Struthio camelus: one gene and its partners. The protein of the gene in region 2 interacts with the protein of the main gene of each other region in a biochemical or structural test. Links are inferred from orthologs where the notes say so. Each region holds a gene or a part of one and is shown on either strand. Other genes may lie near its edges. The genes, in order: ficolin-2, PTX3 and CFH.

What was found.
Region 1: the proteins of PTX3 (region 2) and ficolin-2 interact in a biophysical measurement, tested with the Homo sapiens proteins (2 studies listed by IntAct, with this or other methods). The link is inferred for Struthio camelus from reciprocal best matches to the Homo sapiens genes PTX3 and FCN2.
Region 3: the proteins of PTX3 (region 2) and CFH form a complex in vitro, tested with the Homo sapiens proteins (3 studies listed by IntAct, with this or other methods). The link is inferred for Struthio camelus from reciprocal best matches to the Homo sapiens genes PTX3 and CFH.

Annotation. Positions count from the first base shown.
Region 1 is NC_090961.1:13,931,394-13,939,159, forward strand, and holds the start of ficolin-2, read right to left. Parts: upstream 3,094-7,766; 5' UTR 7-3,093; coding exon 1-6.
Region 2 is NC_090950.1:32,021,458-32,028,690, reverse strand, and holds the start of PTX3 (pentraxin-related protein PTX3), read left to right. Parts: upstream 1-4,181; 5' UTR 4,182-4,324; coding exon 4,325-4,472; intron 4,473-4,868; coding exon 4,869-5,405; intron 5,406-7,233.
Region 3 is NC_090949.1:11,594,440-11,601,520, forward strand, and holds the start of CFH (complement factor H), read left to right. Parts: upstream 1-4,030; 5' UTR 4,031-4,131; coding exon 4,132-4,192; intron 4,193-7,081. UniProt on the Homo sapiens protein: Glycoprotein that plays an essential role in maintaining a well-balanced immune response by modulating complement activation.

The DNA of each region.
Region 1 (7,766 bases), on a different chromosome or scaffold from region 2:
TGTCATGTGGATTAACAAATGGCACTGAGGAACTCATGTATTGGAGGAGCTGGGCAAAGGTGCAAAGCAGAATTTGGGCAACTCTACTGTATCTTTTTCCTCTTCTACTGTTTTATTTCTACAAAAATTACTGATTCTGAAATCAGTAATTCAGGGAGCAAACTCCCTATCCCAAATCTGAAATCAGTCCTAGCCACCCATATCTGGGTGTGGAACTCTCTGTTCTAGGTGCTGCACAGAACAGAAATGAACAGCTTTTCTCTGCCGAACAAACACTTGCAAACTACCAGAACAAATTCTACTTTCACTTTTATTGGTGCAGCTCCACTGACTTCAGTGTCAAGTCTGATTTCTGCTAACATCATATTTTCTTTTCATATCAATAGGAACAAGCTATATGTTCCTTGTGTGTTCTTTGGATACCTTCTGCAGTTGATAACCCTGTTTTCCTTCCGCAAAAGTGGCCAGTAATCTTACCATAGTTTAATTATTTTGAACAGTATCTTTGAAAGGTAAAAGGCACCAGGTTTATTAAATCATCTACAAGAAGCCTTTGTGCCAGGGTTTTCCACCTTCTCAATTATGTTATTGGATACCACCCAAACTCCCTGGGACGATCAGTACTATCAAGATGGTCAAAAGAAGGCAGACTTTATGGCATGCCTGTAAAATACCTATGGGCACTGCCTGACAGGGATTTCTATCAGCACTGACGCACTGGCAGAGGTACAAGAAAGGTGATCACACCAGCAAGCTCCCTGTCCCAAAGCGCAGGTGCAGATAAAATGGAATAGCTTCTTGTGTCTTGAGGGTAGTAGGATCTGTAGGATGTGTGGCTTTACTGCTGTGACAGCATTTGTGTTAGAAGAACTGGTTGACCTTCAGGGACAACCTCCTCAAAGTACAAAAATGGTCCACTGCAACATGCATGTTGTTGGACATGCATGGCAGGAAGCCAACAGAGGGCTCAAATGCAAAAGGAGTGCCCAGAAGATGGGAGCAGGACAAGCACCCAGAGGAACAGAGAAACATGGTGTTATGGGATGGTGTTAGGAAGTCCAGAGCTCAGCTGGAGCTGTAACTAGTGAGGGATATGAAGGACACCAAAAAGGCTTCTGTATGTACATCAGCTGCAAAAGGAAGTGTAAGAAAAATGTGGTCCCACTGCTCAGTGGGGCAGTATGCCTAGTGCCAAAGAACTTGAAAAGGCCATTTTTGTCTTGTTTTTCAATGGCAGGGTTTGCCATATTCCCATACACTCCCATAGGGACACTCCCATATTCCAGTGTCTGTCCCTGTACAGAGTCAGTGGGAGCAAAATATTGGCTACAGTCCACTAAGACTGAGCTAAGGATCCCTCAAGTAAGTTGGACATACACAAGTCCCCAGGACCAGATTTGATGTACCCAAGGGTGCTGAGAGAGCTGGCAGATGTCATTGTGAGGCTCTCTACCCTCTTCATCAGGTCATGGAAATCAGGGATGTTTCTGATGACTGGGAAAAGGCAAATGTCAAAATCATTTTCAAGAAGGGCAAGAAGGAAGACCTAGGAAATTACAGGCTAGTCCGCCTAACCTTGGCCACTAGATACGTGGTAGAAAAATCCTTTCTAGAAGTCATTTCAAAGTGTACGAAGACAAGAAGAGGATTGGGAACAGCCAGCATGGATTTACCAAGGGCAAATTATGCCTGAACAACATGTTTGCCTTCTTTAAAAGAAGACATTATTGCTCTGGCTCTGTGGAGAAGGGAAGAGCAGCAGATGTTATTTACTGTAATTTTAGCAAGGCTGTTGACACAGCTTCCCATAGCATCCTTGTAATCAAAATGGTGAGATGTGGCTTGGATATACAGACTGAAGGGCGGGGTGGGTGGAGGGAACTGGGCTTGAAGAATGGAGGCAGACATTCAAAGTCCACCTGGCACGCGGCTAATATTGGCATTCCTCAGGGATTTATGCTGGGGCTAACACTGTTTAATGTCTGTATTAACAACCTGTATATGGGATGCAGCGCATTCTCAGTAAGTTCACAGATGATACCAAACTTGAGGGACTGATACATTGGAGGGCAGAGCAACCATTCAGAGGGACTGCGAAAGGCCAGAGAAATGGGATGACACAAACCTCACTTAATTCAACTATGGCAAATGCAAAGTCCTGCCCTGGGATGGGCTAAGAGGACATGTACCAAGGGCTAGCTGCCTAGAAAGCAACTTTGCAGAAAGGGCCCTGGGTGTCCAGAGGGCAAAAAGCTGAATCTCAGTCGGCAGTGTACCATTGCAGCAAAGGTGGCCAACAACACATGGAGGTATAGCTAATACCTTGAGGGAGGTCACTATTTCCACCTAATTCAGCTCTTATGAGACCACATCTGGAGCACTGGGTCTGTTTTGGGGCCCCTAGTACAAAAAAGATGTTGATAAACTGGATCAAATCCAAAAGAGCCCATGAAGATGGTCATGGTGCTGGAGCACATGGCACGTGAGGAGGGTCTGGGAGACCCTCTTTCAACCTGCAGGTCATTGAACCTGCAGAAGAGATGGTGAAGGGGAGACCTATGTTGGAGTTTGCAGTTACCCTTTATTTGACCCCCATCAGACTGCCCAGCCCTGATCGGGATTCCCACCAGTGTCCATTTAAACACTAGGGTCCCTGGCTGTCCATCACAGGGAACTTTCCAGAAGGGAGGCAGAAACCAGGCTCAGCATGACTATGCCCACAATTGGGCCTTGGCTATAAAAGGTGGCTGCTGGTGCTATGGGTGGGGCTTTTGGGGGCTGCTGGGGTTGGTGGTGGTAACAGAAGAAAGAGAAGAAGCAAGGAGCACGGCTGCGGGACAGCCTTCGTCAGGAGCAAAAGCACCGGATAGGAAGACCAGTGCTCCTTCAGTGCCTCCCCCCACCACTCCCTCCTGCTATGGGATGCCGGACCAGGACAAGCCCACTGGAGTTTGCCACTCCTGAGCAGCTGCACGAGGTGTTGTGAGTTCACCACTACGGGCTTTGTTCCTGGGGATCGGCATACCCCATTGGTGTGGCCGAATTGCAAATACGGGTTGTACCCAAACACAGTTTTCTACTGAGGATCAGCAAACCACCCCCCACCCCCACCTCCGGGTATGGCTAGATCACTTCTATGGGCTTTGTTCCCAGGGATCGGCAGGCCTGCCTGATCAGGGCAATCCTCCCACCCCCACCCCCCACCCCCCCCCGCACACCTTCTCTCTTTTTTTTTTAATAGACGCATCATTATCATTCATAATTTTATTTACTGTGGAACCTTATTTGCCTTGTTGTTTTTTTTTTTCCTGGGAGCGTCCACTAAATACCATTGTATATAGTTACTGTGTGTTCGTCTTGATTGTTTACCACTGTACACAGTTCCTGTATGTTTGCATTGATTGTTTAACTGAAATTAGTAAAGTTATATCATTTGTAAATCCATTGATCTGAGTATTGTAACCCTATACTCCCTAAATGAACCCAATTCTTCTATATTTGCTAAGTCGCGAGGAGAATAATCAGTTTTCCAAAATGCTCTTTAATTGATGCGGGCGCTCCTCTGCTATGGACTGGGACAGACCTTCTTTCTATCTACAAATGCCTAATGAGTTGTGGAGAAGACGGAGCCAGATTCTTCTCAGAAGCGCATAGTGACTGGAAGAGAAGCAATGGGCACAAGCTACAACTTGGGAAATTCTGATCAAATCTTTCAGAAAATTCTTTTTCTACCCTGAGGGTGGAAAAGGGAACCAGGGACCCACAGAGGTGGTGGGTTCTCCATCCATTCAAAATCAAATTCAACAACAACCCCGAGGTTCATGATATAAATTAATTGTGCCTGGGGCAGGGAGGCTTGGACTTGAGACCTCTAAAGTCCCTTCCAACCTGTGTGATTCTGTGATTCCCATTCTGGCACAGCACTCACAGAATCACAGAATGGTTGAGGTTGGAAGGGACCTCTGGAGATCATCTAGTCCAGGCCCCCTGCTCAAGCAGAGTCACCTACAGCACGTTGTGCAGGACCATGTCCAGGTGGCTTTTGAACTTCTCCAAGGATGGAGGCTCCACAACCTCTCTGGGCAACCTGTGTCAGTGCCCAGTCACACTCACAGTGAAATGTTTTTTTTCTTGTGTTCAGACTAAACTTCCTGTGTTGTAGTTTGTGCCTGTTGCCTTTCATCCTATCACTGGGCACCACTGAGAAGAGTCTGGCCCCATCCTCTTCACACCCTCCCTTCAGAAGTTTATACATATTGAAAAGATGAGCCTTCTGAGTCTTCTCTTCTCCGGGCTCAACAGGCACAGCACTCTCAGCCTTTCCTCCTATGAAAGATGCTCCAATCCCTTCATCATCTTAGCAGCTCTTTGCTGGACTCAATCCACTTTGCCCATGTCTCTCTTGTACCGGGGAGGCCAGAAATGGACACAGCACTCCACGTGTGGCCTCACTAGGGCTGAGCAGAGGGGGAGGATCACCTCCCTCGACCTGCTGGCCACACTCTGCCTAATGCACCCCAGGAGACCACTGGTCTTCCCGGCCACGAGGGCACATTGATGGCTCATGCTCAACTTGTTGTCCACCAGGACACCCAGGTCCTTCTCTGCAGGGCTGCTTTCCAGCAGGTCAGCCCCCAGCCTGTACTGGGGCCTGGATGGCGTTATTCCTCCCCAGGGGCAGGACCCTGCCCTTCCCTTTGTTGACCTTCATGAGGTTCCTCTCCGCCCAGCTCTCCAGCCTCTCCAGGTCCCTCTGAATGGCGGCACGGCCTTCTGGCGTATCATCCACTCCTCCCACTTTTGTATCATCAGCAAACTTGCTGAGGGTGCACTCTGTCCCTTCATCCAGGTCACTGATGAATAAACTGAACAGTATTGGACACAGTATTGACCCCTGGGGTACGTCACTAGTGACAGGCCTCCAGCTAGACTTTGTGCCAATGACCACAACCCTCTGAACTTGTCTGTTCAGCCAGTTTTGAATTCACCTCGCTGTCTGCTCATCTAGCCTGCACTTCATCAGCTTACCTATGAAGATGTGATGGGAGGCTGTGTCAAACACCTTACTGAAGTCCAGGTAGACAACATTCACTACTCTCCCCTCATCTACCTGCTCCTGGCATGGCTGACCCCTGCTATATGATACCTGATGTAATACTCCTGCCACATTTTTGTCCCTGCATGGCTGAGGTGTAGCTTTGGCAACAGCCTGTATTAATGTCTGTGAGGATCCAGCTTGAGGTGCATGTAGGGGAGGAATTTTATACCAACACAGAATATCTGCAGCTTCAGAGGAGTTCAGTCTGAGAGGATGCTATATATATGACATCACATGCATGAGAAATGCACTATAGTTTAATAAAACAAAAGTCAAGAGATGCCATGTGGGATATTGACAGCAGAGACTATGTAGCATTGACAGATTTGTGAGCATTAAAGGCTCTGCCAAATTTCCTGACACCAGCTCAGTTTGGAGTTGCTGCTACCACCCTCCTAGAGAATATGGACAGAAAGCTACTTTAGGTAGTGTCCCCAAGCTGCCAGATTGTCTGACACCCAGTGAGCACTGAAACACTCCATTATATTGCTCTGCATCGTTCAGTAACTGGGGCAAGGCACCCCAGGTTGGGGTGGGATGGCTGCTGGGACTTCATCTTCTCTTGCCCTCCTCCCACCTGCAGCTGAATTAAAATGATGCATGGAAGGAAAATAATTCACCTCCAAGCTCTTTTTTATGGCTCTTGTGTTACAGAGCTAGAGGATGAAGCAGAGTGCCTCCTCAGGGAGACAGTGGGATTTGTGCCGCACTCACCTGGGCAGGAGTCCTGGGCATCAGAAACCATCACTGTTAGGCTGAGCAGAGCAAGGAGGGTTGGGGCTGTCCTCCCCATGGCCAGCGCTGTCTGTGCTCTCTGCTCAGCTCCCCTCTTCCATGTCCCAGGCGCTGTGGTTAGCAGTTGACCCATCTAAGCCTCTTATATCGAGCACAAAAAAAAATCTAGCACTAAGCTCCACCTCTGCACTTTCCCACCACCTGCCCATCAAAGCTGGGAGTCTGGCGAGTTCTTGGGAAGCTGTTTCCCACATAAGCCATTTCCCAAAAGTCTGATGGGGAAAGTTCCTGCCTGGCTGTTCCAGCTAACCCCTCATAGGGCCTTAGCAGACTTCAGGTGTCTTTCCCCTCCCTTATTTTGTTTCCAGAGGAAATGAACTAGTGAAAACATACATTTGGTTAAAGTAGACAGCTCTTATGCTGCTGCCTGTTAGTGGCACTTTCACAGAATGACAGAATCACAGAATCACAGAATCGTTTAGGTTGGAAGGGACCTCTGGAGATCATCTAGTCCAACCTCCCTGTTCAAGCAGGGTCACCTAGAGCATATTGCCCAGGATCACATCCAGATGGCTTTTGAATATCTCCAGCGATGGAGACTCCACCACCTCTCTGGGCAACCTGTTCCAATGCTCTGTCACCCTCACAGTCAAGAAGTTTTTCCTCAGGTTCAGATGGAACTTCCTGTGGTTCAGTTTCTGCCCATTGCCTCTTGTCCTGTTGCTGGGCACCACGGAGAAGAAGCTGGCCTCATCCTCAGATACTTGTACACATTGATGAGATCCCCTCTCAATCTTCTCTTCTCCAGGCTGAACAGGCCCAGCTCTTGCAGTCTTTCTTCATAGGAGAGATGCTCCAGCCCTCTAATCATCTTGGTAGCCCTCCGCTGGACTCTCTCCAGGAGTGCCATGTCTCTCTTGTACTGGGGAGCCCAGAACTGGACACAGTACTCCAGGTGAGGCCTCACCAGAGCTGAGTAGAGGGGCAGGATCACCTCCCTCGACCTGCTGGCAACACTCTGCCTAATGCAGCCCAGGAGACCATTGGCCTTCTTGGCCACAAGGGCACACTGCTGGCTCAAAAAGCAGATCTTACTTTGCAGATGGGAGAGCCAAGACCATTAGCAGAAGCTATACTGCCTGACTCATGCTCCAGTGCTCTACCTGCCAGTCAGCACTTTGCAGCCCTTCAAACAGAGGTTTATAGGTGATCCAGGACCAATTTAGAGTTAAAGCTTTGTATGTCCAGGCAATGCTAGCTGGGCAGAACATGTATGTTTTTTTCCCAGTCCCTGTTCACTGTAATACTGAGTAGAATTTCAGTTTTGCTTTGCTGTTGCTATGCTGTGCACTCTGCTCATCAGTGGCAGAGTTATGTGAAGTCCAAACTGCCTGACTGAGTTTGATCCCCATGTTACCTTAAGACACAGAGCCCGTAAAGTTTATGAATTTTATCAGAGGGCAGTATTTTAGTTTTTTCTCTGTATTGCTGCATCCCAGTTCAGATGAGGCTGATTTCTTGGAGTCTTTCCCAGCTATTGGGATATCAGAGGCAGAACATAGCTTCCCCACATTTACTTTCTTTGTGGGTTCCTTCTCATATCTCAAACTACAGCCCAAACTCCTACGATAAGTGAAAGCCTGCTTTAATGTTAAGCAAATGGGAGTAAGCAGGAGAGAGGTAAGAAAAGTAATTGGTTGCCACTTAAATTCCTTATCCCCAAATAGTCAGTACATATACACAGACATATACTTGTGTGTATAAAATAATAATAAACCAGTAGATCTTTGATTATTGTTGCTTCTGAGACCTAATTCAGGCAGGGAAACACATACATCCTTCCCCTGCCCCTCTCTGAAAAAACTGCAGGGAAATGAGAGGGATTGTAATCAGACCAGTCTCATTCAGATTTGGGGTTTGCTTTAAGTGGGGG
Region 2 (7,233 bases):
AAGATATGCAAAACCCTCTCTCACACATTTTCTTAAGATGTCTGTGCGTAATTCAATTTGAAACCCAGGCTCATACTAAAATATATAACTTCACATTGCTGTACATGCCTGCCTCAATGCATTTAAGTTTCACTTGAACAACATATGGAAAACATCTGCCTAGTGCTGTGTAGTACCGATCCTTTTTGTAAACCCTTGAAAGTCCTTACAGTCTCTCTGGATTTGGTTTCCAATAGGAACAAGCACTCTGGCCTGCTGCTTTTTCTCCCATTTAAAATTAGAGCCCTGTAATTTTGGAAGATAAACAGGTCACTTAATGGATGGTAGAAAAAGAATATTGGGGTCAAACTCGACCACATCAAGCTCAGGCCAGATACAAAAAACCACCCCAAGACACCATTAGGTCTTGCAACACCTTCTCTGGGCCAAGTAACTAAAATATAATTCTTACCAGGTTCAGAAAACTTTTAGTCAAATCAGCGTATAATGATCCTCGAGGAGTCCTTGTACTTGGAGAGAATGCCTCTGCACCATTTATTCAGCCAGGCTTTCGCATCCTATTCCGAAGCATTTATTCTGCTTGAACAATCTTTGGCTTCTTCTTGAAGGCAGCTCCAAGCCCCCTCCATACCATCAGTGCAGCAATAAAGGCCACGGCGAGGTTCAGATCCTACCATTGTTCACATGGACGTGGAGAATTTCTGTATTGCTCTAGTCCATAAATACTTGTGCGTTGTACAACCGTTGTTTTCCATAAGTGAAACCCCTGCTTGGGATCTCCTTTTCCCCTGAAGTGCAATGCCTAAACTAGAGTACCCCAACTTATGCTACAACAAGAACGGCTTCGTGCGAGTGTGAATGCATGCCCAGTTTGCAACGCAAACCGGCAACTTTCAGCGTGAAAGCACAAAGGCCAGTTGCAAAGAAGATATCTGCTGATGAATTGCCCTAAACAGCTTACCAAGCAGTTCAGTTCAGCTAGCTTCCATCCCACATTCTTAGCGCAAATCTCTTCTTGATGTTAACAGAAGACTAAACGTTTTCAGGGGCGTGAGTGTCACCAGTGTACTGTGGGATTCATGCTCCTAAATCCCAGAGGTTCTTTGGAAAATCCCACCGACTGACTTGGACGTGCAGCTTCCGGGTCCTTTCTCAATGAGCAGGGTAACAGCAACAGCTGATGTCGCACAGCTAAATACCAGGCAAGGCAATATTTATGACAGCCCTGGAGTTACACGACAGTCTAGCAGAGCACCAATTACTCAGAGTTTAACAAAATGATGAGAAGACATATTTACTTAACATTTTCTAGACTAATATCTTAGTTTGAAATGGAACAATTTTATAACTGACTACACTAAAAATTATTTCCTTCTCCAGATCATTTAGGGCTTACAGCCCTTCATTCTCTGTGCTTGCACCCCTGTTGGTTTCAAGTGGAAGTTTTCTGCACATACAGAATAGAACCCTTAAACTCTGGCCAAATTTCAGCAATGGTAACAACTGCAAAAGACAAAATTCCCATGTTCCCAGACAAGCAAAATTCATCTCAAGGGAAAGAGTAAAGACTAGCAGCACTAAAGGAGGAATAACAAACACCAACCTGAGACATGCTATTGCCTAAATTAGGTTATCATGCATGGTAAGATGTCAGCTCTGGAAATTAACAGCAATTATTCCATCTAAGAAAATATCCATTTCAAATATCAGATGTGTTACAGGAGTAGCATAATTTCACATAACATGATGGATTGGAGCCATGAATCTTCTCTGAACAAAAATACATTGCACAAATGTAAATGGACACAGCAAACGTTACTGGGTTTATATTCACCGACCACAATAAAAGAACAGCAAGGGCAAATTCGAAGCAGCCGCAGTGCTTCTGAATGATATTTAAATGCTCTCACTGACTTGGAATTCCTTTTAATTGAACAACCTGTATACGTGAACTCGTAAACAATCCCAGCAGACAACACAGATCCTGTCTGTTCTTCTTGCAATTTAAAGTCATGAAACAATCCAATTCCTTGTTTTCTCAGATTTTCACATCTTGAATTAGCTCTAAGTACATTGTGCCATGTGTTTGGCATATATCTTTTCAATTTCTAAGCGATTTCTGCATGCGTAGTTCAGCAGCCTCTGCTTTCCTTGGCGCTCAGGCTAGCCAAGGCGATACTGTGCCCACTCCTGAGTCATTTGGTTCTGTTCCATCTCGCTTTGTCTGTCTCAGCCTAAACTACGAGCCTGAAAGCGTGTTTGTCATCTGAAAATGGAAAAACCTTCTTAATTACCTCCTCTCCCTCTTCCTCCCCCTACTACCCTTATGCCCAATGCATTCCAGATTAGATTTTCCCAGAATTTCCAAGCAGACCACACAGTGACAACTATGCAACTCACTCAGAAACTAACACACAGTTGGGTGCGTTTGATGGCTTTGCACCGCTGGCTCCAGGGCAGACAGGGAAGAGGCCCAAAAGCAGGAGTAACCCCAGGTATGTGCTCGGAGTGCTCTGCGCTGGCCCGGCTCTCCTGGCTGGCCTCGGACCGTGCCCCCACCCTCCCCTTGTCCGTTCTCCCTTTACATGTTAAGGGCAGCAAGGGTTGCCCTGTGCTTGGTTTCTGCTCTGTCCAATCCTTGGTCCTACGCAGTGATGTTGTAAAACAAGGAACCTGGCAGCACACTGCAAACCTAACATGGACAGAAAGAGTTCTGCACAGTGGTATTTTGACATTCACTCTATATTAAACTGAGTATTTTAAGTTCAACCATTAAGACCAAAGTTGTCGCTCAGTTTAGCCACTTGCATCCCCGTGCAGGCAGAGCACTCTGAAAACGTTGACCTCTACGTTATACCCTGTTACCTGGGGGTTCATAAGTTATTGCTTTGATATTATTACTTATATTTGCAGGAAAGCAGGCAGAGGCCCCATTGCAGTAGGAACTGCACAGGTAGCTCAGGTTTGCACAGTGCAAGCCGGGTGTCAGGAGGAGTCGAGCTGTAGCAACACCAAACTCTCGGCAGGCTGAACACTGCCTCGTGGAGCAGTGGATCTGCTCTGGGGCAAGGGCACCCAAGGGCACCCCAGGGTGTTTTGTGCAGCTGCATCTCTCCCCCCCCCCCCCCCCCCATGGCCCAGGCGCCAGGAGCTGCCGTGGACGGCGGCAGAATGAGCAAGACCTGAATGGAAGCACGGGACCCTCTTTATGCAGCACCCGTTATTCCTGTATGCCATGTGTATGAGGGTAAGTCACTAAACTACACGTTCTCGCACAGAAAGGGGATGCAGAATACCCAGCAGATAGTTACATGTTTTCTCTATATTCCAAATACTTTATAGTGAATATATAATTTGTGTCATTGCTTTATTACCTTTAATCTCACCCAAGCAATGCATCCTGAAATAATCAATAGCTCATTGAGCTTTCAAAAATTAAAACAGAAACTGTGTAGTTTAGATAAAATTCAACAATAACAATAATATTTAGCACTAGATTAACGCTTAATCCAAGGGTGCCTCATTTTGTTTTCAAGTTAACTGAAACAAATCTAATTGTCCAGCTGCTAATTTTTTGGCCTCTGAAACAAGATACTAATAGTAACGCATTATCCGGAGTTAGAATGTTATTATCGGGAATTAGAGCTAAAAACTGTAAAAATAAAATCCTAATAAGTCATCTTTATTTTCTGAGTTTTCTTCAATTGCTGAAAGCAGTAAAAACTTCTATGGTACTAGCAATTTAAATATAACTATCAGTGAAGCTACAATGTTCAGGTTAAACCATACATATGTACTAAAACCAATTTCACATATAGTTATTTTTCTACCACTCCTTTCCAGAGCCCTGGCATATATCAGCGGTAAAACAAGTTTGCAGAGAACACTTTCCTTTTCCACAAAGGATAGAAAATAGCATATCCGGCGTGCGCTGTGCTTTTAGGCAGCCAACTCCGAGTGATTTCATCCCGTTGTTCTCACCCTCACATCACTGCACGTTACAGCAATCTGCTCTTGGAGGGAAAGTCACAGTTTGCAAAAGCAAGCCTTCCCCGCTTCTTCCCCTCCTGTAATCAGTACATCTTCCCCCAGTGCAAACCTTGAAGGCTGAGATTGAGCAAGTTGCACGCCCCCTTCTACTCCCATCCAACAACAACAATCAGAAGTGCTCTTATTACACCACTGGCACTAGCACTACTCATTCATTCAAGCTGAGGCACTCGCAGCATTTATTAGGGGCTCTCTGCCTCTCACTCCGAGTCTTGTCTCCGCTCAAGACCTTCAGCTCCAGGCAGCGCAGATACTTTTAGGAAACAGCTGGAGAATGCTGCCTCAAGAAATGCTTTCCTTGCTCATACTGTTTTGTGTTTTCAGGGCTCCTGTTTCTGCTCTGGATGAAGATGATGACTATAATCTCATGTATGTGAATATGGATAATGAAATTGAAGGTCCAGTTCTTGGTACTGAGGAAAGTAAGTAGATTTAAACCAGCTTTCTCTTATTAAGCACAGAATTGTCTTCTTTGCTGCTTAGCTCTTGTAACAGTTATTATACGCATTACTTTTTTAAAAAGGAAGAAGCACGTACAAGTAGATTGTTATAGATAGCAAACGTCAGAGTACTTCAACAGTGTCCCTTGGAATTTGCTTTATGCTACTTATTTTTCAGTTTTCCCAGGAAATACTGGGGATGACACTAAGTTTTAGATTTGCTATAATACTCATTGCTTTACCTTTCTCTTTTAATAGGGGGAAACACACTGGTAGTTTGGAGCACATAAACTTTAGAGAGACAGATTTTGTTAAATAACTCTTCTGCTTAAAAACCTAAGTACAAAGGAATAGCAACATCTGTATCTTGTATTTCAGCTGCTTCATGTGACTGTCAGCGAGAACACACAGAATGGGACAAGCTCTTCATCATGCTTGAGAACTCACAGATGAAGGAGAACATGATGCTCCAGGCTATCGATGAGATCCTGAAGGTGGAACTACAGACCGTGCAAGCAGAGCTGAGCCAGCTCGCAGCCAACTTTGCTAGCACGTACGCCACAGCAGTTGAGAAAGTCACTTCCCACATTGTGTCACAGGTAGAGCAGGCACTTGTGAGGAACAGCGAACAAGCTCAGGAAGGAAAGACGCTTCACGAATCTGAGCAAGGCAAGATCCTTGAACACGTGCTGTTACTGAGCCACAATGTGTCCAACAGACTCAGTCAGCTGGAGAGCGTTTGGCAGAGCAGATCTGAGGCGGAGGTTCAAGAGACAGCTTTTCAGCAGCAGGATAAATTCGGTCACACCGCAGGAGACAATTTCATTTTGAACTCTCTCTGGAAAGAACTACAGCAAACCAGAGCTGAACTGAAGGTATCTCAAAAATGGGCAGCTCAGCACTTACTGCCGGCAGGTAAGTCCAGTGCATGACGTTTTGCTGGAGAACTCTCTTCTGTGGGCCTGTCCAAGCAGACATACTGCAAACACTTCTTTCCTTTGTATATAACTCCAAAGGAATCCTATGAATGGTACAGCAGTTTTGAGCAGTCTGTATACACCAGGAGGAGATCCATTAACTTTTCCCTAGAGAGAACCACTGAGCTTTTGAAACGTGGAATCAAGGAAGGATCTAATCAAAGTCCTTCCACAGGGTAAACCAGCCCCTCAGCCAGGATTCTGACTCCTGGACAATCTCCCAGATTCAAACTGTAGCCAAAGAACAGCAAACATATTTTAAACAGACTAACATGCAAAATATGTTCTCTCACCTTTTACCTTTCCAGCTGGTAAGTCCCACACATACTCATTAATCACTGAAGTCTGTTGCTCTCGCCATATACATACCAGCTCCTTCCTTCTACCCTAGCCACTGCCGCCTTCTCACCAACTCTGACTGCTTAGGACCAGATCTAGATCTGAGGACCTGCTGCTGCTGTCAACCAGCAACAGCTGATCACATTTCCTGTGTCCAGGAGGACACATTTTGCTGCATGCAACTGTCAGGATGCAATAGCTTCCCCCAACCATGGAAAAACTAGTTACATTGCCCAACATTTTTTTTTCCTGTCCTTCTGAAGCGTTTCTATTGGTCAGCAAGTGAGGTGGCTGTAGAAGGATGAGCTCATATCTCAAATTTCTTTTCAATTTTTGTGTGCTGTAATATGATACCCAGCCAAAGCAACTACAGAAACTTATGGATGACAGAACAGGCCCCAATCTATATAAAAGCGTTCACGTAGCAATTTTGCACCCACAATATAACTATGATGTATACAGCTCTACCTACTGGATAGCTATCGTTGCATGATTTCTCAGTGGTATTGATACATCTTTAATGATCACGTTTCCCACAAAAAATTACTGCAGCTAAGAAAAAAAAAACCCAAATCCCCCCCTAAAATCTACCCTTACAGAATCTGCAGCTGTGTGCACAGATAGGAAGCTAGGGGTGCAGTTATGCCAGGCTTGTCAGCAACTCCCTAGCAGCACTGCAGACAGGTTCTTACACAGGGGAGCAAGCAGGCACGCTTCTTACAGTGGCAAAGAGTAAAAGCAATAACTTCCACAAGGCTGTTAAAATACAAACACAACAATACTTAACATCAAAGCATTTTACAAGCTAAGACAAAAATCTATACTTTGGAGGTAGAACGTGAATTCAGCTTTATAAGCAAGAATAGATTGCTTTTACTCTTTTTTTAATTGTAGCATTTTAGTAATCTTTGTGTACTGGGAGTAGGTCATACAGCATATTCCTTTTACCACAGACAAGGATTTTGCCTTCCAAAAGTCATTATCTCATTCTTCGCCTCTCTCCTGTAACATGACAAACCTCTCCGTTAGTATGCACTAGGTGAGAGTAAACTCGACCTGCATTAAGCATGGTCTTCTGATCTCAGTCTCATCAGTGGAAATCCAGATTAACTCCACTGCTTTTACTGAATTTAATCCTGATTTACACTGCATAAGAAAGATCAGTATCTGTCTCTACATGGTTTTATAAGAAAAAAATATATGAAATTTTTTTCTTTTTAGAGATTCATTTTAAATACTTCCAGGGTGTCTCTGGAAATTTTTTTCCAGGGAGTTTTTAGCAACTGCCTTTAATTTCTCACATCCTGAACTACTGCCAGACATCTCTTGAGGGATTTTCTAATCACATTTTTTGGTCTTCAGTGAGGCTGTTTTTAATTTTGTTTAGTCCTTGATAATAAAGCCAGAAAGCTTGCTAATTAAAAAGC
Region 3 (7,081 bases), on a different chromosome or scaffold from region 2:
AGATAGGAATGCGAGTACGAACACCCAAAACTGTCAACTCTTGCATACCCCAGAGAGTGCATAACCTAGCTGATCACCTTAAAGGGGTTGACAACCACCAGTCAGATTAAACAGTAACCCAGGAGTTACAGGGAGACCTTTCAAACAAAGAAGGTCTCAATTTGGAAGGAAGTGTAAAGGGAACATGAAAATTTGTAACAGAAAGGAGAGATTTTTGAGTGCAAACAGAGCTGCAGTCAAAACCAGAGCAGTCTGGTTTTACGCTGGCAGAAGTCACCCCACTGGTATAGCGACCTCTGCCTTGACCTGGCAGAGCGTCTGCCCTCGGGCTGCACCGTGTGAGGTGAAGCAGTAGGGACCTGCGCCTGGGGTGCAGATATGTGACCTTGTGTGGTACTTTCTTTCCAGCATGTGCATTAGCAGATTGTAAGGAGCAGCATGGGTGCACATCAAGCACGCGCACCTTCAGTAGGAGGTGTAAGTATGGGAACTTGCAACCCCGGAGGAGGTGGGGGGGATGCCTGTATCCTGCATGGCCTGTGAGAGATGGAGTGGATGCTGTAACTGTGGGTGGGTGCTCATGACTTTAGGTGATTAGTACTTTGGAGGTTAGTGAGAGAGGGGTGCTTAGAATTTGAAGTTTTTTCTTAAGGCACAGTATTAGACACAAAATGTTAACCTGTTGTATTGCTTATACTGATCCAGAATCTCTGATCCTGATCCTGTTCACTGATTGCTAGTTTATTGTGTGTCGTTAATAAATCAATAAACCAGTTTGATCCTGATTTGGTTTAAGCTATGTGAACTGAGCTTTTTTTTTTCCCCCCCTGTGACACCATTAGGTGATTAGATATCGAATGATGTGTAATTTCAAGTGGTCTGCCAGTGGGAGGAAAGAAAACTATAGACAATGGAAACCATCCCACCAGTAAGATAGTGGGATAAGGCTCTTCTGTGAAGATTTTTTGAGCACCTCGATGGCAGATCCTACGATTCTATAGACCCTAATGATATCACTGGAAGTATGACAGCAAGCATGTTATCACATGCTAATAAAATTACACTGTGGTCAGAGATGCTGTGACTAAGCTCCCCTCATTAGCTATCACTAGTTGTCTCTTGGAAGACACTGACTTCCTCAGGTGTGCATTCATGTTACCAAATAGCTTCCTAACACTCTTCTCTCAGAAACATTCATGTTTGAACAAACACTTTGAATCTTAGTTTTAACTCCCAAAATTGAGTAGGGAACGACCAAGGCCCTGAGTAATGTGGTCTGACCTCATAGTTGACTCTTCTTTGTGCAGGAGGTTGGACAAGATGACCTCCCTGACATCCTTTCTGTGTGAATTTTCCTGCTTTTCTATGTTGCCTGGGCATGCAGTTTTGCTACTAGAGGAAGTATCTGGTAATATCTTGACTGTCTGATTGTGACCACCACAATGTTTGAGTACAGTTGCACCAATTCTCCTAGCAAGGAGATGGGTAAAATCTTTCTGCTTTGATATGTAAAATCCAGTTGCCTTTGACTGCATGACTACTTAGGTGTTACTGCCTTTTTTTTTTTTTTTTTTTTTTTTAAGTTGAAGGAAGGTAAGCGTACTCCAGAGATTTTTCTTCTGCCTCCCTTAGAGGTCCTGAAGCTTACCTCTTTCACTGACACCTCTTCATTAGTCTGTTTTCCTCTGCGTTCTATTTCCTTAGAGCCTGGAGATGACCATGTCATCCAGATATGTTTAAAAGAAAATCAGTTTTGAATCAGTTTACAGCCTATGGAGGATGTGAGTAGGGGAAGAAAGACTTAAGTTCCTGATTTTTATTTCCGTTTGGTTAATGTAAGTTTTGCCCCTGACTTAAGGTCAAGAACATGGGACTGGAAAGGACTGACTCTGGTCCCTGTTTTGCAACTGAAGATGGTTTTTATGTTTATATAATGCCCGTAAAAAGATTACTTCTGAGCCTCACTTCTCAGGCGATTCTTCTAATTTCCACTTTAAATTTAATTTCTAGGATGTTTATAACTATCTGCTCTCGTGTTGTGATATCTTATAGCTTAAGTGGTTTTAACATTCACTGTGTTCCAGTTTGGGTTCAGGTATAGCTGAAACTACCTTTCTTTGACTGTGGTTCAAGCCAGTAATGTTTTGACAAGTGGTTTAGTAACCCGAAAACGGTTTGAGCCAGAACTGATTTAAGCCTCATGATGTCAGCAAATACAACATTTGAAAACTGAAGAAACAATAAAAATGAGGACGTCCCTGCAACATATGTTTCTCCTGCTAATGGGTTCGAGCCACCTTCTCTTGGTTGGCACCTGAGTGCCTTCCAGCACTGCCTCAGCATTTTTGCAGCTTGGCACAGTGGTTGAGAAACTGGAAAGCAGCAGTGTCACTGCTACATTTGAAAATCAGTACTTATGCTGTGACAGGAAGGGCTAACCCATCCTCACTCCCTCCTCACTACAAGGAATCTTGCTTTTGCACTCTGCAGCCCACTGGCACAGAAGCGTGTGCACACACATACGTGCATGAGATTGCTTCAGAGAAGGACAAACAGGCGAGACTGTCCTGGTGCACTTAGAGCGCCGCTGTCTATACCAGCACATGGTTCTCTACCACAGCACAGAAGGGATCACTGACTTCGTTAGTTCTCTCCCATGAGCCGTTTGCCAAGAATTCAGCTTGGGCAGGTGTAAAAAGAGGTCTTTGCTGCTTAGATGCTCTTTACTGCCAGGAACTTCAAAATTGGTGCAGACCAATCATCACAGGGTCATGGAGCAGGGCAGGAGTTCAGTCTGTACATATGAGTCAGCTGGCAGGAGAGAAGTGAGGAGGGAAAAGCAGAGATGTGATGCTATCTGGCAGATCTGTGGCAGGTGTAAACACTGAATGTTAGTTTTCACTAAGACTTGAATTGCCCTGAGCTGGTAGTTGACAGCATAGCACAGGTACAAAAAAAAATTCAAGAAATAATTTCACTTCAGCTCCATTTTGAGAAGAAAAAAGTTCACTGCTTTGGCATTGGGGCTTGATTGGGGATCTGTTCTCTAAACAAACTCTCTTTTATCTTATTTCAGTAGATGAACTAAGCCAGTGGGCTTAAGGATATGTTTATGTAGTCTTTTGGGAACATACACAAGATTGCCGTGTGCTTGCTCTATGTCAGTCTGCCATCAGAGCTAGGGGGCATCCAGTCTGCAGATGTTTTGTGTCTGTCTCCTGAGAGCACTTTGTGCTCTTACGTTTCTCCCCAGGCCTCAGTATCAAACAATTTTCTTTGTGTAATCCACACTTGCATGGTGACTAAAGCCAAGACCTTTAATGAAAATATTAATACGATTGCTGCTAACATCAAGCCCTGGGGAGTTTCACTGTTACCCCCTACTCCCCATGCTGCCCTATAGTTCCTCTTTTAGTGCAATCTTTATTTTTTAAAACAGTTTGTTATCTGTATTGCAATTATATTCATTCTCATCTTCATCTTATGGTTTCTAATGTGAAACCAAAACAAATGGTTCAGCATAGCCTAGATTTATTTAATTTAGTACGTTTCCTTTGCTTAGGGTAATTGGATATCTTAAGCAAAATCTATAGGTTAGTAAATCACTTTGTATTTTTTCAGTCTATGTCTTGAATGACATTCGTATAGCAGCGAATTTATACACAAATAATTTTTTATTTATACACAAATAATTTTTTAGTTCCATTCATTCTTTTTAACTGAGCATATAAAACACAGGGAATTACAAAGTAATTCATCTGAGCAACTTCTTTTGGATCGCAAAAGAAATAAGCTTATCTGAGCATGAAAGAGATTAATATGAAAAAAATAGAGGCATGATGTAAAAACTAGTTGAACACAGGAAGGGGCAGTGTCAGCTGAAATCACCAGGCTTTTATTTATTTATTCATTTTAGCAAAGTTTGCATTGTGTGTCTATCCAAAAAAAAGAGAAACAGTTGTGTGTTGCAAGAGGATTAGAGGAAGTGACTGCTGAAATCAAAGTATAAATACTTTGCAAGGTCAGTCACAGGAGCAGTTACTGAGTAAAATAGGAGTGCATATAACGCAAAATAATCCAATAAGTTAGCTGCTGTTATAAATGTGCTTACTGTGTTTCTGAGTCACTAGCATGTCACTCCTGGGTTATACGGTTCTACTGTTATTTTGGATGTATTGTACTGCAGAAAGAGGTAAGTTTTTAATGTGGAAAAAAGCCTACTTTCTTATACTAGGAAAATGTAATTAAAATAATTTTTAAATGAAATATTCTGATTGTAGTTTATTTTAGTGAAGCTCTGTCAACAATAATTGGGATTTGTTCTCGCAGTACCTAGCACCTTTAGTACTTACTATGCTGCCTTAGGTATTATTTCACCTATTTATTTGGATAAAGACTGTTGCACAACTTTTTAGTAATTACTGTCCCTGTAAACTAGAATCAGATAATTCATTTTTATTATGTTTGTTTGTTAATTATTTTAACATCTAAAACCATAAATATCTATAAATGGTTGGTAGACTAAAATAACAAACACTCAATAAATGTATATTTCTTACGTCTGGGATAATCTATGAGATAATCTGAGAAAGAGAAATGATTACTAGATTGACTGAATTAAGTGTTTACAAAGTATCTGTCAATTGACATCCTTGTTTTGTTCTGTTTTTAATCCATTGCATGAGATAAGCATATACAGATACACTTTTGTCCGTGGCTAAAGAGGCATTAAGTTTTCTAGCTGCTGTTAATATTTTCCTATTCAGTGTTCAATTTCCTTTGCTTGACACACAGAGTTTATTTTTCTTTGATACTATGTTTATACTGTTTAAGCTATATGTTTAATAATTTGATTGCTGTGTTTTCTGTCAGGGATTTATGTATAGACTGTTGGAGAAAGGGTGTTGTGTGTCTTTGAGCTAGTGTGTCTTCACTTAGTTCAGATTGTTTTTTAATTTTATATGAAGGTTATGAAGACCTTATCAATCCAAGCAATCTGTTGAATTTTACTTTGCATCCTTCAGAATCGTGTAGAATTAGGCCCTTTCTTTAAGATTTTTATTCTTTTAAAATTAGCTGGTAGGAAGGAAATTTTATTTGAAAAAATCAGAAGGTTAGTGAAATGTATTACATTACATACTTGTAATACATATTGTTTCAAAGTGCCATTAATAAAGTCTCCTTTTTTTGCAAAGTAGTCTAGAAAAACTCTGGAATTTGAAAAGAAAGTTTGCCTAAATTTGCCCTCTCTTTTCACAATACTTTCTTTCTTTAGAGAGATTGCAAAGGAATGTGAATGTAGCAATATTTGATTCAGCTGGGACAACTATTACCATTGGTCATACAGGGTTCTTAGTGCACGCTTCATATGGAAAGGCGACGTGAGTTTTTTGAGAGCTGTGTTGTTGCACAGGAACTGAAAAATTCTTCGGTGAGGTGGCTTGAGAACTGGCTGGATGGCCGAGCTCAGAGGGTTGTGGTGAATGGCGCAGAGTCAAGTTGGAGGCCTGTGGCTAGTGGTGTCCCCCAGGGGTCAGTCCTGGGCCCAGTCTTGTTCAATATATTCATCAATGACCTGGAGGAAGGGACAGAGTGCACCCTCAGCAAGTTTGCTGATGATACTAAACTGGGGGGAGAGGCTAACACACCAGAAGACTGTGCTGCCATTCAGAGGGACCTGGACAGGCTGGAGAGCTGGGCGGAGAGGAACCTCCTGAAGTTCAACAAAGGCAAGTGCAAGGTCCTGCACCTAGGCAGGAATAATCCCATGCACCAGTACAGGCTGGGGACTGACCTGTTGGAAAGTAGCTCTGCCGAGAAGGACCTGGGAGTGCTGGTGGACAACAAGTTAAACATGAGCCAGCAGTGTGCCTTTGTGGCCAAGAAGGCCAATGGGATCCTAGGGTGCATTAGGCAGAGTGTTGCCAGCAGGTGGAGGGAGGTGATCCTGCCCCTCTATTCAGCCCTGGTGAGGCCTCACCTGGAGTACTGTGTCCAGTTCTGGACTCCCCAGTCCAAGAGAGACATGGCACTGCTGGAGAGAGTCCAGCGGAGGGCTACCAAGATGATTAGAGGGCTGGAGCATCTCTCCTATGAAGAAAGACTGCAAGAGCTGGGCCTGTTCAGCCTGGAGAAGGGAAGATTGAGAGGGGATCTCATCAACGTGTACAAGTATCTGAAGGGGGAGTGTCAAGAGGATGAGGCCAGCCTCTTCTCCGTGGTGCCCAGCAACAGGACAAGAGGCAATGGGCAGAAACTGAACCACAGGCAGTTCCATCTGAACCTGAGGAAAAACTTCTTCACTGTGAGGGTGACAGAGCATTGGAACAGGTTGCCCAGAGAGGTAGTGGAGTCTCCTTTGCCGGAGATATTCAAAACCCGTCTGGATGTGATCCTGGGCAATATGCTCTAGGTGACCCTGCTTGAGCAGGGAGGTTGGACTAGATGATCTCCAGAGGTCCCTTCCAACCTAAACGATTCTGTGATTCTGTGATTCTTCCTGAATTTGTAGTTTGTGTTTGGCTTTGTTGAAGTTGATACTGGTACAATGATGCTGAGAAAGCAGCTTGAGCTATTTCTAACTGAGGTCAAATCACAGAGGAAGTACTAACTGATTAATTCCAGCTATTCTGGTTTTCCACGAAGGAATTTGAAGGCATGCATTTAAACCATGCTTTCTAATATAAAAATATCAAACTCCAAATTTTGGTGGGTATGGAGATCAAAATGCATGATGTAATGAATAGCTTTGAAGTCTACCCTGTCAGAAGATTTGTTTCTCAAACTACTGAGAAACTGCATAAAAAAGGAAAAAATTAGCTGTAGTCAGGAATATGCACATACATGCTGTGACTCTTGACAGTAATGCTTGCTATAGAGAAATCACAAACCCGGACTCTAGGTCAGCAGTGGTGAAGAACGCAGAGTTGAAACGAAACCTGGAAGCAAATATGTCTTAGTAATGGTGAGGAGAGTATTAAGAGATCATCTTTTTTTAAATTTCTTTCCTTTTTTTAAATATAAACAAGACGGAGTTATGAGGCCCCATTCTACATTACTTCTGAGTTGTACTGTTTTTCTT